Linked DNA regions of Canis lupus familiaris. The protein of the gene in region 1 interacts with the protein of each later gene in a biochemical or structural test. Links are inferred from orthologs where the notes say so. Each region holds a gene or a part of one and is shown in the gene's direction. Other genes may lie near its edges. The genes, in order: PIAS3 and MITF.

Region 1 (7,410 bases):
GAGAGCCCTGGGACAGCCCTGGTGGTTCAGCGGTTTAGCGCCGCCTTCAGTCCAGGGTGTGATCCTGGAGACCCATGATCAAGTCCCGTGTCGGGCCCCCTGCATGGAGCCTGCTTCTCCCTCTGCCTGTCTCTCTGCCTCTGTGTGTGTGTGTGTGTGTGTGTGTGTGTGTGTGTGTGTGTCTCATGAGTAAATGAATAAAAATCTTAAAAAAAAAAATAAAGGAGATCCCTTCTTGGGGTGCCTGGGTGGCTCAGTGGTTGAGTATCTGCCTTTGGCTAAGGTGGTGATCCTGGGGTCCTGGGATCGAGTTCCGCATTGGGCTTCCTGAGAGGAGCCTGCTTCTCCCTCTGCCTATGTCTCTGCCTCTCTCTCTGTGTGTCTCTCATGAATAAATAAATAAAATCTTAAAAAAAAAAAGAGCCCTCCTTTACAAAACCATTAGGATTCAAGCTGAGGTTGACATTCTTTTTTTACTTTTACATTTTTACAGCTTTAATGAGTTAGAATAATTGACATTCAATAAATGCATGTATTTAAAAGTGTACAGTTTGGTAAGTTCTGACATATGTATATACCCATAAAACCATCACACAACAAACATATCTGGGGCCCCTGGGTGGCTCAGTCAGCTAAGCATCCTCCTTCAGCTCAAGCCAAGATCCTGGGGTCCTGAGATTGAGCCCCACATGGACTCCCTGCTTAGCCGGGAGCCTGCTTCTCCCTCTCTCTCTCTGCCTCTGCTCCCTTCTCGTGCTCTCTCTCTCTCAAATAAGTAAATGAAATCTTTTTTTAATAAAAAGATAATGAACTTATCTATCACTCCCAAAGAATCCCCCCTTCTCTTTTTTTATCCTCTCAATCGTCCTTCTCTCCAAATCACTGAAATTTCTATGAGATATACAAACTAATTCATAGTAACTTTTGACCTAGAGGACTGAACACAACAACAACAACAACAACAACAACAACAACAAAAAACAAGCTCTGGGCCTGATGAAAACTCAAGTGTTGGAAGGGGCAGTTGGTATTTTTTTTTTTTTTTTTTTAGATTTTGTTTATTTGACAGAGAGAACAAGTAGGGGGAGCAGCAGAAGCACACGCCCTGCTGAGCAGTGAGCCTACTGCAGGGCTTGATCCCAGGACCCTGACCTGAACCAAAGGCAGAGACTTAACCAACTATGCCACCTAGACACTCTGGCAGCTAAGACTTAGAATCAAATACTTGAGCTTGAGTTTAGCTTGGTCTTACCTGGGAGTAGGGAGTATAGCAACAGGGAAAGAACCTGAGTGTCAGGAGAGGGTACACATCTTCCCTATGGACAAAATCCACAAAGTAGTTGGTCATGGTCCAATTCAACAGGTATCTGAGGAGGTTGCTAGGCTGGTACCTTCATTCTTGTGGCTTGGGTAGGGTCTCATGGGAAGGATTATACTGAAGGTTTAAGCTATATGAGAGGGTTATTCATGTTATTTATTATTATTTTAATGCCAATTATAGGTTTAACTGTCTTGCTGCCACTGCTAGACCAAGAGCTCCTGAAAAGCTTTTTATCTCCTCAGCACCTAACAATCTCTGAACAGCATTCAAATGTTTGTTGAACAAATGACATAATGGCTTAGGTCCCAGCCAACTAACCTAAAATGCTGAGTTTTTCCAGTATGTAGTTTGGGTAAACTGCCCTAATTTTGGTGCTTGAATTGGTACCTGCATGTGAGTGATCAGCCTGGTTGAGAATGGCCTCTCTGGGGATGCCTGGGTGGCTCAGTGGTTGAACATCTGTCTTCAGTTCAGGTCATGATCCTGCGACCCCGGGAATCGAGTCTAGTCTCGCATAAGGCTCCCGGCAGGAAGCCTGCTTTTCCCTCTGTGTCTGTCTTTCATGAATAAGTAAATATATATATTTTATTATTATCTTTTATTTATGATATAGAGAGAGAGAGAGAGAGAGAGAGAGAGAGAGAGGCAGAGAGAGAAGCAGGCTCCATGCACCGGGATCCCGACGTGGGATTCGATCCTGGGTCTCCAGGATTGCGCCCCGGGCCAAAGGCAGGCGCCAAGCCGCTGCGCCACCCAGGGATCCCTATTTTAAAGAGAATGGGGTCTCTGGAAGGGCAAAGGCTTTGGAAGAAAAGTAGGCAATTCATAGACGGGCAGAAAGACGACTGTTTTGGGAAGAAAACCTCCCCTCTGTTCACCTTCAGCCCCACCAAAGGCGTGGGGTCTCCGGCGACGGTCTGAGTATTTGGGGTAGGGGGTGAGGGACCACAGGGAGACTTGGGGCTTAGGTCCACTTTAGATTCTAGCAGCCCAGGCTTTCCCCCAGGGAGAGGAGTCTCGTTCCAAGTAGGAACCTCTTCAGGCGGCCAAATCCCAGTCGGCCCGGCCTTCCTCGCAGCATGATCGCGCCGGGCGGGCAGAGCAGCGCAAGGGGCCGGAGCAACAGTGAGCAGGTTGAGTCCCCAGAACGTCCTCCCTTCCCACCCGTTGGCTCACGCACCCTTTCAAGGAGTTAAGCTCCGGGCGCGGGTCTCGGAGCCCCTCCCCTCCCCGCTTCCGACCCCGCCCCCGCCCCCGCCCCCGCCTCCGCGGTCCTGGCGGGCTCACCCGGAGGGGGCGGCCCCAGCCCCAGCGCCGGGCCGGGCGGAGCTCGCGTCCGGGCGGAGCTGCCGCTGCAGCGTCCAGCTGCCGGACCGACCGACCTCCAGCCTTGCAGCCCCCCCACCTCCCCGGCCCACCCTCCGAGCCTCCCGAGCCCCCTCCCCGCTCCCCGCAGCTGTGCTGGTAAGTCCCGCTCGTCGCACCAAACTTTTTTGCTGCGGAGTTTGAGTCCTGCCGCGGGACCCCAGGCAGCACTGTAGTTGGTTGGCCGGGAGGGGGGTGGGGGTGGGGGTGGGGGTGGGGGTGGGGGGCGAGGAATCGAGAGCAGCCGTCCTGACCGTCACCACTGCACAGCTTCTCCGAAGCGGGTCAGATCTCACCCGTTCCCCGAGTTGGTAGAACTCTTGACTTGAGCTGGTTAAACTCGTCGAGGAGGAGATGACGGTGTCTGCTCCAACTTCGCCACCCCTCCCCCATTTCTCTAAGATTGAGCAGTTCTCGCTACTTTCCCCCCGTATTTCAAGTGTCTCTGGCTCTCTAAAAGCTCACCCCCTCCCAGTCCCGGCGTGGCAGAGCCCTCCCTCGGGCGCTGCGGGCCCGCCTCCCCTTCCTCACCCCCGGGGACCCTCCGCTCTGGCACCCCAGCCGGAGCCGCGCAGGGGCTGGGTCGGGCGGAGGGAGGGGCCGAGGCCGGGGCCTGTCCGGAGCCGGGCGGGCGGGGCCGGGAGGGGAGGCGCAGGGGCCGGGCGGGGCGGAGCAGGCGGCCTTTGCGGCGGGCGCCGGGGTGGGGAGTTGCGCGCCGGTCCCTGGGCCTGGGCTCGGGCTCGGGCTCGGGCGCCGGCGATGTCTCAAGATGGCGGAGCTGGGCGAGTTAAAGGTACCGGCCCCCTCCCCCAGCCCCGTGTGGACTGCGCCCGCGGAACGCCGAGTCTGGGAGGCGACCGAGCCCGGGTGCCGAGGGCTCGGCGGGGGCGGGGGGCGCGGAGACGTGGCGGAGACCGGCTGCCCGAGCGGGAGCCGAGCGGCGGCGGGAGCGGACCGGGCTGCCACGGGCTCGGGGGCGGGGCCGCGGGGCAGATGCAGGGGTGGGGCCGAGGGGAATTGCCGCTGTCGGGGGCCGAGGCGCAGGGGGCGGGGACGCGGGGGTACGGGTCGGACTCGGTGGTCGGGGCGGGTGCCCGAGGAAGGCCGAGGTCCCAGCTGCCGCGGGGGCGCGGGGGGCGAGTCACCGAGGCCGCGAGACGCGACAGTAGGGGGCAGATGCGGGGCTGGGACGCGGGCAGAGGTGCGGAGGCGCCCGCGCGGTGCCGCCGAGGGGATGGCAGCTCTGGGGCTGCCGCGGGCTTCCGAGCCTCGGGAGCACCGCGGGCGGCGGAGATCCCGGGGGCGGGGCCGCGCGGGCTGCGGGTTCGAGGGCGGCGAGGAAGCCGCTGCCCTGGTGGATCGGTCTTTGGGCTTAGGTACAGGAGTGTGAGGCTGTGGGATGGAAAGGGGACGTTCTTGACAAAGCTAACGGAGAACTGAAAACCGGACAGAGGAAATGAGGGTGGGAGAAAGGTAGATGGGCCAGTTTTTCACCGCATTCCTCAAAAGGGGCCCGAAGCCAGGGAGGCTCCTGGGAGGGGGCGACTCGTGGACGGCTGGCAGAGCCCGCCCGTGACAGGGCTCCCGGGGAGTCACGGAGGGTGTCCTTTTGCGAGAGAGCGAGCGTGTGGTGCCCGCCTACTGCCACACAGGCTTGAGGGTACCCCTATCGGAGGACATCTCACAGAACCTTAAAAAAACCACTGGGTTCATCCCCCTGCCTCCTGGCTTTGTTCTGCCTTTTGAAATGGAGCCGTAGTCTTTGGCGGGCTAGTCCCTGGGTCCAGCTGCCCCAGGAGAACTTGCAGGTCTGCCCCCAGGCTGGGAAGGCGCCCCAGCCTTCTCATCTCCCCAGGGCCCCTGCTTACAGCTTAGCCCTCTCCTCTCCCACGGCTATGGGGGGGGGGGGGATTACTTATTTTCTCTATGTAGGAGAGAAACAGGATATTAGTTCCTGGCAGATGGAGTAAACAGGTAAACAAGAAAGTAACCCTGGACTGGGTGATTTACTATGAACCCCTTTGCCCCAAGTTTTGGTCGCTTATCTCCTAGAAGAATAGGACTGAGGGAAAGGTGTTGATGCTTACAAAGGATTTGGGGGGAAGTTACAAGCATTGAACCCTGACCTGAAAACCCTGGCCACAGACGCTTCAGAGGCTTGGGGAAAATAGCTGAGGTGGCTTGAAGTGTTGGGAGGGGTGTGCCATGGTGCACAATCCTCTGGCCACCTGCCCCCTTTCTTCCCTGTGGGGCTGTCTGGCCTGATTCCTCTTCTCCCCCTCCTTCTCCCTGTCTCCTACCCTCTTTCCAGGAGGCTGGGTTGGGTCTGAGAGTCTGAGAAAGGGCAGGAGAGGAGATAAGCTGCTTAAAGGAGCGTCTAGGCTCAAGGCAGGGTTGGAAGTAGGAGGCCACAGTGGACTCGGAGGTGTGCCTGTGGATGGCTTGCTGCCTGCACCCTGCCCCACCTGGCCAGCTTACAGGCACGGGGAGATAGGGTTACTCAGGCTCTGGGGGGGGGGCAGTGGTAAGGTTGACCTGAGGGCTGCTGAATGGGACTGAGATGTCCCTTTGGCCAGATTGGCTGTCCGGCTGTAATCACTGGCTGCAAAGCATATTTCTCTTGGGGAGGGGGGCGGGGGAGGCACTGCCTCTTTGGCAGTATTCTCAAATGTCTCTGTTCTCTGCAGCACATGGTGATGAGCTTCCGGGTGTCTGAGCTTCAGGTTCTGCTGGGCTTTGCTGGCCGGAACAAGAGTGGACGAAAGCACGAACTCCTGGCCAAGGCCCTGCACCTGCTCAAGTCCAGCTGTGCCCCCAGCGTCCAGATGAAGATCAAGGAGCTTTATCGCCGACGCTTTCCCCGGAAGACCCTGGGCCCCTCTGATCTCTCCCTCCTCTCTCTGCCCCCTGGCCCCCCTCCTGTCGGCTCCCCTGGCCCTCTTACTCCCATTCCCCCTGCCCTCTTGGCCCCTGGCACGCTGCTGGGCCCCAAGCGTGAGGTGGACATGCACCCTCCTCTGCCCCAGCCTGTGCACCCTGATGTTACCATGAAACCATTGCCCTTCTATGAAGTCTATGGGGAGCTCATCCGGCCCACCACCCTCGGTATGGCTCTGCCTCCTCCATCTTCCTGAATCTTACCTCTTGCCCAAGCCTTGGGCTTTAGTCCTGTGGGATCAGTGGCCTGGGATGGGGGTAGCGTCTGTGGCTGCCTGTCATGGGCTCAGGAGTAACTGCTCCTTTGTATCCTCAGCGTCCACTTCTAGCCAGCGGTTTGAAGAGGCACACTTTACGTTTGCCCTCACACCCCAGCAAGTGCAGCAGATTCTCACATCCAGGTACCTCTCTTCCCACCCTCCTACCTCTGACCTGGGGTGGTTATCCCGGGACTCTGCTCTCTGCCTTTCTTCTCGTCTGTCCTCGTCTCCTGCCTGTCCATCCTTCTGCACCTGTGTCATCTCTCATTCTCTTGTGCATCTCTTCTCTATCTCTGGGACACGTAACTGTTTCTCTGTCTATTCAGCCTGGCCCTCTGGGGGCCACATCCTGACATGTTTCCCTCTCCTCCCTGTCATAGAGAGGTTCTTCCAGGAGCTAAATGTGACTATACTATCCAGGTGCAGCTCAGGTGAGTTGATCCTCCCGCCTCCTTCCCTGCTGGGCTTCCACTGGGGGTGGGAATGAAATAAGGGTATGTCGGACACTGCTAGGAGATAGCCCTGCTGTGCTACGTCCACCCTGACCCTGGGACTCTTGTGGGTGCTGAGGGCTACAGATACAGAGATCTGTGACTGGCTGACTGAGGTTCCCTGCCTTTCTGTCAGCTTCAACTCAAGAGACTACCTCCCCCACCCTTTCATCTTTTCTTCTCTTACCAGATTCTGTCTCTGTGAGACCAGCTGCCCCCAGGAGGATTATTTTCCCCCCAACCTCTTTGTCAAGGTCAATGGGAAACTGTGCCCCCTGCCGGTAAATGCTCTTCCCTTCTTCTGGCAGTAACCCCTTCCCTCTTTCAGTTCTTAAATGTTAAATACAAACGTATTAATGAAGAGATGTGTGTAGCACAGTGCCTGGTACATAGTAGGTACTCAGCGTATTGAGTGATGGATACAATCTAGAGGATACTAAGATAGGGTTGATGCACAAGGGTTCTGTCAGAACCCAGAGGAAGCACATCAGTTCAACCCAAAGGTTCAGGGAAGATTTCTCTGAAGTGATGACCTCAGAGCTGAAAGTTAGAAGTAGTGGGGCAACCCTATTCTTCCTCCTCAGGAGCTCAGTGAGTGGGTTTCTATTTCCCTGGTCAATAAATAAGCTCTCCTTTCTCCCCAGGAATGAACCCCACACACAACCCTAGATAGTGCTTCAGTTTTGTGAGTCACTGAATGGGTCCCCATGTCCCTGGTCAGTGAGTGAGCTGGTCTTCCTTCCAGGAAGTGAGTAACCTGAGACAAGATGTCTTGACCAGCCCCTCCCTTCCCTAGGGTTACCTTCCTCCTACCAAGAATGGGGCTGAGCCCAAAAGGCCTAGCCGCCCCATCAACATCACACCTCTGGCTCGACTCTCAGCCACTGTTCCCAACACCATCGTGGTCAACTGGTCATCTGAGTTTGGACGGGTGAGCAGGGCTGGGGCAGGGAGCCTGGAGAAGCCTGCAGGGGGTGAGGGGCATCGTCCAGTGTCCTGGGTTGGGAAAACATCTTCCTCTTTATGGGTCTTTCTG
Region 2 (6,914 bases), on another chromosome or scaffold:
TCAACCTTCCTGTTAGTAGCTTCAATAAATGACAGCCATTAGTGTGAAGAATGTAAGGCCCCATTTCAGGGCAGTCTCTCAGCTTCAGCATAATTAATATTTGAGATGGGTCGTTCTTTGTTGGGAGGCTTTCCTGCCCATTATAAGGATGTTTAGCAGCCTCCGTGGCCTCTACCCACTAGATGTCAGTGATACTCCCCCCCCCCTCCCAGTTGTGACACCCAAAAATGGCTCTACAATTTTGACAAATGCCCTCCACTAACAATGGAGAAGCCCTGATTTGAACACTGGGTGGTTACTCCAGCTCAATAGTTCCCTTGATTCCTGTGTTTAGGTTTGCATTGCAGTCTGGTAAAATTGGTACAGTGGTTGACAGGATACCTTATAATTAACATGTAGTTGCTCAACATGGAAGTTAGCTTGAGGTTTAAAACAGCCTGGGAATACAGTACTTTGTAGAAAATTATATTACTGAACATGGCACTATTGATCACTTAAATACAGTGTTTCACCTACTGGACCTCTAATTCTCACAAAACTCTGTGAGATGGGTGATAGGATTGCCACTTTTCAAAGGGGGCACCATGCCTCAGAAAGGTTAGTATCACACAGCAGGTCAGTTATACACAGGCAGGTTTTAACCGAGTTCTCTGGCTCCTAAGGCAGCCTGCACTATAATTTCTAAGTTTGAGTAGCCATACTTGGCTAGTGAGCAACTAGGTTTTTATTTGCTTATATCCAGTTGGAGATTAATTGAAAATTGCAGTTTCTACTTGGTTTATCAGCAGATTGACACCGCCTCCCAAATACTGCTATTAACATGGTATATGAACCTCCTGCCACGAAGCTCTATTCAGACATAGCTAGAACTACGGCTTTTCTTTCATAAAATCAATTAAAGCAACATATACAAAGTGCCTTTCTAGTTCTGTGCCGGACCCAGAGTAGGTGCCCACAAAATAATGTTCCCCAGCAAAATATCCTGGCAGGTTGTATGCTGCCAGCTGCTAATCAGCAAGTATTGGAAAAGCAGCCGAAGCGGGAAATCTTTTAGAGAAGTAGGTGGAGGGTTATAAGCCACTTTTTGGACTGGAAGTAATGATGTCTGATCTTAGTGGAGTGTCTGATAAGGCATCCTGTTATAGAGATTTTAATTCATCTCCCTCCAGGGATTCCTGGGTGGCTCAGCAGTTTAGCATCTGCCTTCGGCTCAGGGCGTGATCCTGGAGTCCCGGGATCGAGTCCCATATCAGGCTCCCTGCATGGAGCCTGCTTTCCCCTTTGCCTGTGTCTCTGCCTCTGTGTGTGTGTGTGTCTCTCATGAATAAATAAGTGAAATATTTAAAAAAATTCATCTCCCTTCTTGGCGGGCACTGCTGTCAATCCATGCCACTCACAGCAATCTTGTCTGCCTAGCCCATTTGTCTCTGGGTGACCCCAGTCTTGTACTTTTTCTCCCCAACCGCATCCTGAATGTCTCTCCATCTGTCTTTCCACCTCTCTCCTCTGTGTACATGTGTCTCTCTTTTTTGTTTCTGCCCATTCCTTTGTGTCTTTGTCTCTTATTCTCAGTTTTTGTTTCTTTTGCCCTCTCTGTATTTCTCCCTCCCTCCCTTCATCCTTCATATGAGTCTACATTTGTTAAGTATATGTGCACCTCGTTCCCCTTTAGAATATGTTTAGAAAACAGGTTCTTGCCCTGGAGAAGCTTATAATTAGATATCTGTCTGTTCAGTGTAAATCCATAGATGACTTAAAGGGTTTTGTTTTTTTTTTTTAAGCTTACTGTGTATCTCTTGTCTATTAATTTTCCCTAACAAATCATCATCACAACACAGTTGCATTGTTTTGCTTGCAGCTTGCATTTGAAAATATTATAGATATGATTTGTATTTCTAGGGGTATAGAAGTATATTTTTTAGCTTGTTGCATTGAATTTTGAAGCCACATTCAATACTGAGCAGTTCCTCTGAAAATCTGGAGCTCCAGAAAGATAGAATAAATCTTTGGAATGCAGAGGGGTTATGAGATGTCATAGCAGCTTTATAAGTTTTGATGCTCTGACTCAATACACTCTTTACAACGCTGTATTGAGACATTTGCACATCTTTCACTGTGCTGTCTTAAGTTGGACAAGAGTAGAACTGATTGCACACAGAGCAAGATTGACCCTAGGAAGGTGACCTACTTCAAATAAAACCACTTAGTAAAATGACAGCTAATCATCAAAGTCACTTTTTATCAGGTTTTTAGCTAGAGGACCTTGAATTGTGGTTCAAGAGCATTTTAAATTGTCACAATGCATTGTTTATATGTGAATCTGTGTGGTGGGAAATGTGTATTACATTTTATATACATAATATAAATCCTGCCTTCAAAAAGAAGCAAAAGACTGAATGGATAAGAGAGAGACATGCTCTGTCGATCTGCCTGTCCTTCCTGCTCTCAGCCTCAGTCATATTAGAGCAAGTGTCTTGTTTATCTGTCAGAAAGAAAGTACAGGCCTCTCCCACCTCTTTAGCTTGGGGTTTAGTTCATAGAGTACTTACTTAGAAACCACACTAGGAATAGGTGGTCAGGGGATCCCTGGGTGGCTCAGCGGTTTGGCGCCTGCCTTTGGCCCAAGGCGCAATCCTGGAGCCACGGGATCGAGGCCCACTTCGGGCTTCTGGCATGGAGCCTGCTTATCCCTCTGCCTGTGTCTCTGCCTCTCTGTCTCTGTCTCTGTCTCTGTCTCTCTCTCTATCATAAATAAATAAATAAATAAATAAATAAATAAATAAATAAATAAATAAATAAATGTTTTAAAAAGAATAGGTGGTCAAAGGCTATCAATGAAGGGAAACGCATTCATTATCTTTATCCTGCGGGATATTTTTATTTGTATGGTAGTGGCCATTGGAGAAAATGAAAGGTGACATGTAGTATAATCTCTGCTCAATACCTCTTGGTCACTAAACAACTTGAAAATGCTGTCTAGATTGAGTTTTCTCAGATGTAAAGTAAAACTCAGAGTGTATAATCAAGGATGGGATGGGCTGAATGCTCTAAGTCTTACTTGGTAATAACACTTAGAGCAGTTGTTTGAATTAAGCTGGGAACAGGGAGCTTCTGCACTGGCAGCAGTGCGGTCACTTAACTGTGCCCTCATAATTAATATTCAGAGGGTGGGCAGAAGAAATGTCTGGGACTTCTCATGCTCACAAAAATGGGTGCATTAAACTCCATCAGTGAACTAGGTACAGGGAAATGCATATACAACAAAAGGAAGTCAGCATTGGAGACAGAAAGAAGTTCACTACTTCAAAATATTCAATTCAGACCTGGAGAAAAACACTCTTAAGCTAGCTCAAGAGGGCTAAATATTTCTTTACCCTTCTTTTTTTTTTTAAGTGTAAATTTTTGTTGTTTTATTAAAGTCAGTGGGCTCCCTCTTGTGGTTCTATGAGAGATTTCAGTTTCAAGGAAAAGCGCTTTTCTTTAGCAATAAGGAAACCATTTCTTTTCTAGTAGAAAACACTTTTCATTCCTTTTCCCTATAAAAAGAGATAAAAAGGGAGAAGGAAAGAGAGAGAAGGAAAAAAGTGACTTTGACGAGAAACCTAATTTGGTGGAAAAAGCCATGCCACATAGAACCCTATTAGACTGTAATAGTCAGCATTTACTAAACATCTGCTATATGCTGCTGGATGTGCTCCATAATGAGTTTGCCATATTATTTGTTGTCTACATGCTCAAAATATAACTATTAGCTGCTTGTAGAACCATCTTATGGGTCTTGGATTCTGCATCCTTTCTTCTCTCAAAGGGAACAAGTCAAGGTCACCATTTATCTAAGTGAGTGGAAAGGTAAACATGTCTTGCTTTTCTGTTTTAAAATATGATTTTTAACATCAAACCATTTCTTTTAGATAAAGTCTGGAATAGATCTGGGTGCTAGCTGAATAACCTAGGAATTGCTCAGTAGTTCATTTCTGTTATTGCTTCTCTCTCTAGTTACCTGTCTCTGGAAATCTGATTGATCTTTATGGCAACCAAGGCCTGCCTCCCCCAGGCCTCACCATCAGCAACTCCTGTCCAGCCAACCTTCCCAACATAAAAAGGGAGCTCACAGGTAAATACTGGCAAGTGTGCCTCTTCCTGGGGATTTTCTGTTTATTTTCTGACAAGTGAGGTTATCAAAGTTGTGACCTCTAGACTATTCCCAATTTGTAGACATACTTTTTTTTAGGTCGGTGCTGTGGTGAAAGTATCGAGCAATATTTTAAGATGAAGGATTTATACTTGGAAATCCTGGTTGCCAGTTTTTCTTGAGATACTGGGAGTTGGATCTGCTGTCACTCCAAAGCACCATTATTATTCCATGACACCCATCGTGGCGTCTTTGGCTGCTGTCCCCTTTGAGGTGGAGCAGCAGGCAACACTTTTACCTAAAAAATGTCTCTACACAGTCTGGTGTTTGTGTTGCTTGCCAAGCCCCTAGAGGCATTCCAGTTTGAGAACCCTGGTCTGGAATTTTCTTTGACCTGCATTTAAGCCCGCAGTTGTCAAGATAGAGTAGGAATGAGTCTCTTCCATCTTCGGAGGCCTCCTGTTATTTTTGCTACATCATGTGCAAAAGCTTTATTACACAGAGTAAAAAAAAAATAAGATTATAAAATGGAGTGATGGATATTGTTTGTTCCTGAGGCACTGAGAAATTACCTATTTTGCCATTTTGTTTAATGCTTTAGGGAAGGCATTTGGCCATTAAAACATGACAAAACTACATTAGAACTGACATTCTACCATACTGAGTTTATGGCCCTCACCTCATCCCCCTTTTTAATGTCTGGTCCTTGCATCTTGTAGGATTAGGTGAATGAACAGTCTAAGAATATGAGATATATATTTGGGGCAAAAAATTCCTGTTTGTTCAAGTGTGTCTTTTAAAAAAAATACTTCAGAAGATAATGGCAAGAGAAAGACCATTTAAAAAAAAACATTGATTTAGGTTAAGAGGTAATAAATTAATTGATATGTAAAACCCATTGAAAGTCAACAAAAGTAGGTACTTTACCTGGAAAGAAAAATATCACGAAGTCTTACAAAATAATGCTATATGAGGTCTGTACTCAATAATGATAAAATATGGTTAGTGTGATATGAACAAAATTCTTATGACTTAAATGCAAAGCAGACCTTTTTTTTTTTTAGAATTAAAAAGAAGTTATTTATTTTAGAGAGAGTGCGAGTGGAGAGGGAGCAGAGAGGGAGGGAAAGGGAGAGGGAGAGAATCTCAAGCAGAGTCTGAGCTGAGCAGGGAGCCTGATGCAGGGCTAGATCTCATAACCCCAAGATCATGACCTGAGCCAAAACCAGGAGTCGGATACTTAACTAATGGAGCCACCCAGGCACCCCCCAAAGTAGACTTTTGAGTTATGTGTATGATTATTTCTTAAAAAACAACAGAGGCAGGGGGTGAGAATGAGAGAAATGAGTAAGAGGGTATAAATTTATTATTTTTTTAAAAAAAGAAGCAGATATAATGAGCTATACACTTCTAGAATCACTTTGTATCTTAGAAAATGACCACTTGAGACAGGAAAAGGGTAAAATGCCAAGAAAAGGAGAAAATGGACAGGAATTGGGGTTCTGAACACTGCTAGCTGAGAGACAGCATGATGTAGCCAAAGAGAATAAGTTTAGGACTCAGATCTGACCTAAGGGATAAGAAATGATCTTTATTAAGTGATTTTCCCTCTAGTCAGGAAGCAGAGGGCACCATGATTTGAACAGGGGAGGTTAAAGATAAAGAATTGTTAACCATGAGCAGGCACATAGCTACTCAGAGAGGATGAATACTGAAGAATACCCTGAGGCTGCAGAGGGTTTATCTAAGCTTGAGGAAGAGCCCTCCTCCCCAAGGCCAAGAGTCTACTGCCTTGGGGAGGATATGGGTAAAACTACAAAATGGCAGTGAAGTTCACTGGATAGCCTTGACCAAAGCTGGCCTACACTTGGTGGGTTGAGGTTGATGGGTAAAAAATCATAGTTGTGGGCTAGCAAATTGAAAAAACAAAACAAAACGAAACAAAATTAAGATACTAGAGGGGAGGGTGCCCATAATGCTCAAGTGAAAAAAAAAAAAAAAAAAGAAAATGGATTGATCAAAAGGAAAAAAAAAAAAAAAGAAAATGGATTGATCTTCCCAACTGAAATAATTCAGCTTCTGAATTATTTATGTGTATATATGTATATATAATACACATATAATAAATGTACATCTGTATATAAGCTTCAGTGGCTATGAGTTATAAAGATTTTGAATTTTGGGTAAAATTCTGATTTGTCATAGTATAATGTTTCAGATATCAATTGTATAAAGAAAGTAACAGGAGGTCCCAGAATGCCAGGATTAATCAAACAACTGCCTCTTGTTTTGTTTTGTCGTCTGTAAGTTACAAAGTCACCCCTCCTCACAAGAGATCTCACAAGAGTTCCATGCAAATACATCTTTTCAAATGAAGTTGTCACTAAACGCCTTTGTACACTATTCCTATTTTTGTTTTTCAAAACTTAGACTAGTAAATAGTTGATCCTCACAGGCATTATTTAATTCTAGCAAGTTCTGTTGGAACCTCATTCCAAGTTCCAAAAAAAAAAAAAAAAAAATCCATTTCCACCAGTTAGAAGATCCAACGTGGTAGCTTTTCTCACTGGTTTTCATGTTCATGTGTTACAAAGGCATTGAAGAAATACTGAAAAGTTCTGTTGCAGGAAAGGAAAAATTGACTCCCATGGCGTCCTGGTGGCTCATTTAAGCGTCCAACTCCTGGTTTCAGCTCAGGTCATGATTGCAGGGTTGTGGAATCAAGCCCTGCATTAGGCCCTGCACCCATTGTGGAGTCTGCTTGAGATGCTTTCTCTCCCAC

Evidence for each region.
Region 2: the proteins of PIAS3 (region 1) and MITF form a complex in vitro, tested with the Homo sapiens proteins (2 studies listed by BioGRID). The link is inferred for Canis lupus familiaris from reciprocal best matches to the Homo sapiens genes PIAS3 and MITF.

The regions. Positions count from the first base shown.
Region 1 is NC_049238.1:59,313,892-59,321,301, reverse strand, and holds the start of PIAS3 (E3 SUMO-protein ligase PIAS3), read left to right. Parts: upstream 1-3,377; 5' UTR 3,378-3,455; coding exon 3,456-3,479; intron 3,480-4,024; exon of another isoform or gene 4,025-4,660; intron 4,661-5,373; coding exon 5,374-5,791; intron 5,792-5,939; coding exon 5,940-6,024; intron 6,025-6,263; coding exon 6,264-6,314; intron 6,315-6,564; coding exon 6,565-6,655; intron 6,656-7,170; coding exon 7,171-7,305; intron 7,306-7,410. UniProt on the Homo sapiens protein: Functions as an E3-type small ubiquitin-like modifier (SUMO) ligase, stabilizing the interaction between UBE2I and the substrate, and as a SUMO-tethering factor.
Region 2 is NC_049241.1:22,007,000-22,013,913, reverse strand, and holds part of MITF (microphthalmia-associated transcription factor), read left to right. Parts: intron 1-3,996; coding exon 3,997-4,114; intron 4,115-6,914. UniProt on the Homo sapiens protein: Transcription factor that acts as a master regulator of melanocyte survival and differentiation as well as melanosome biogenesis.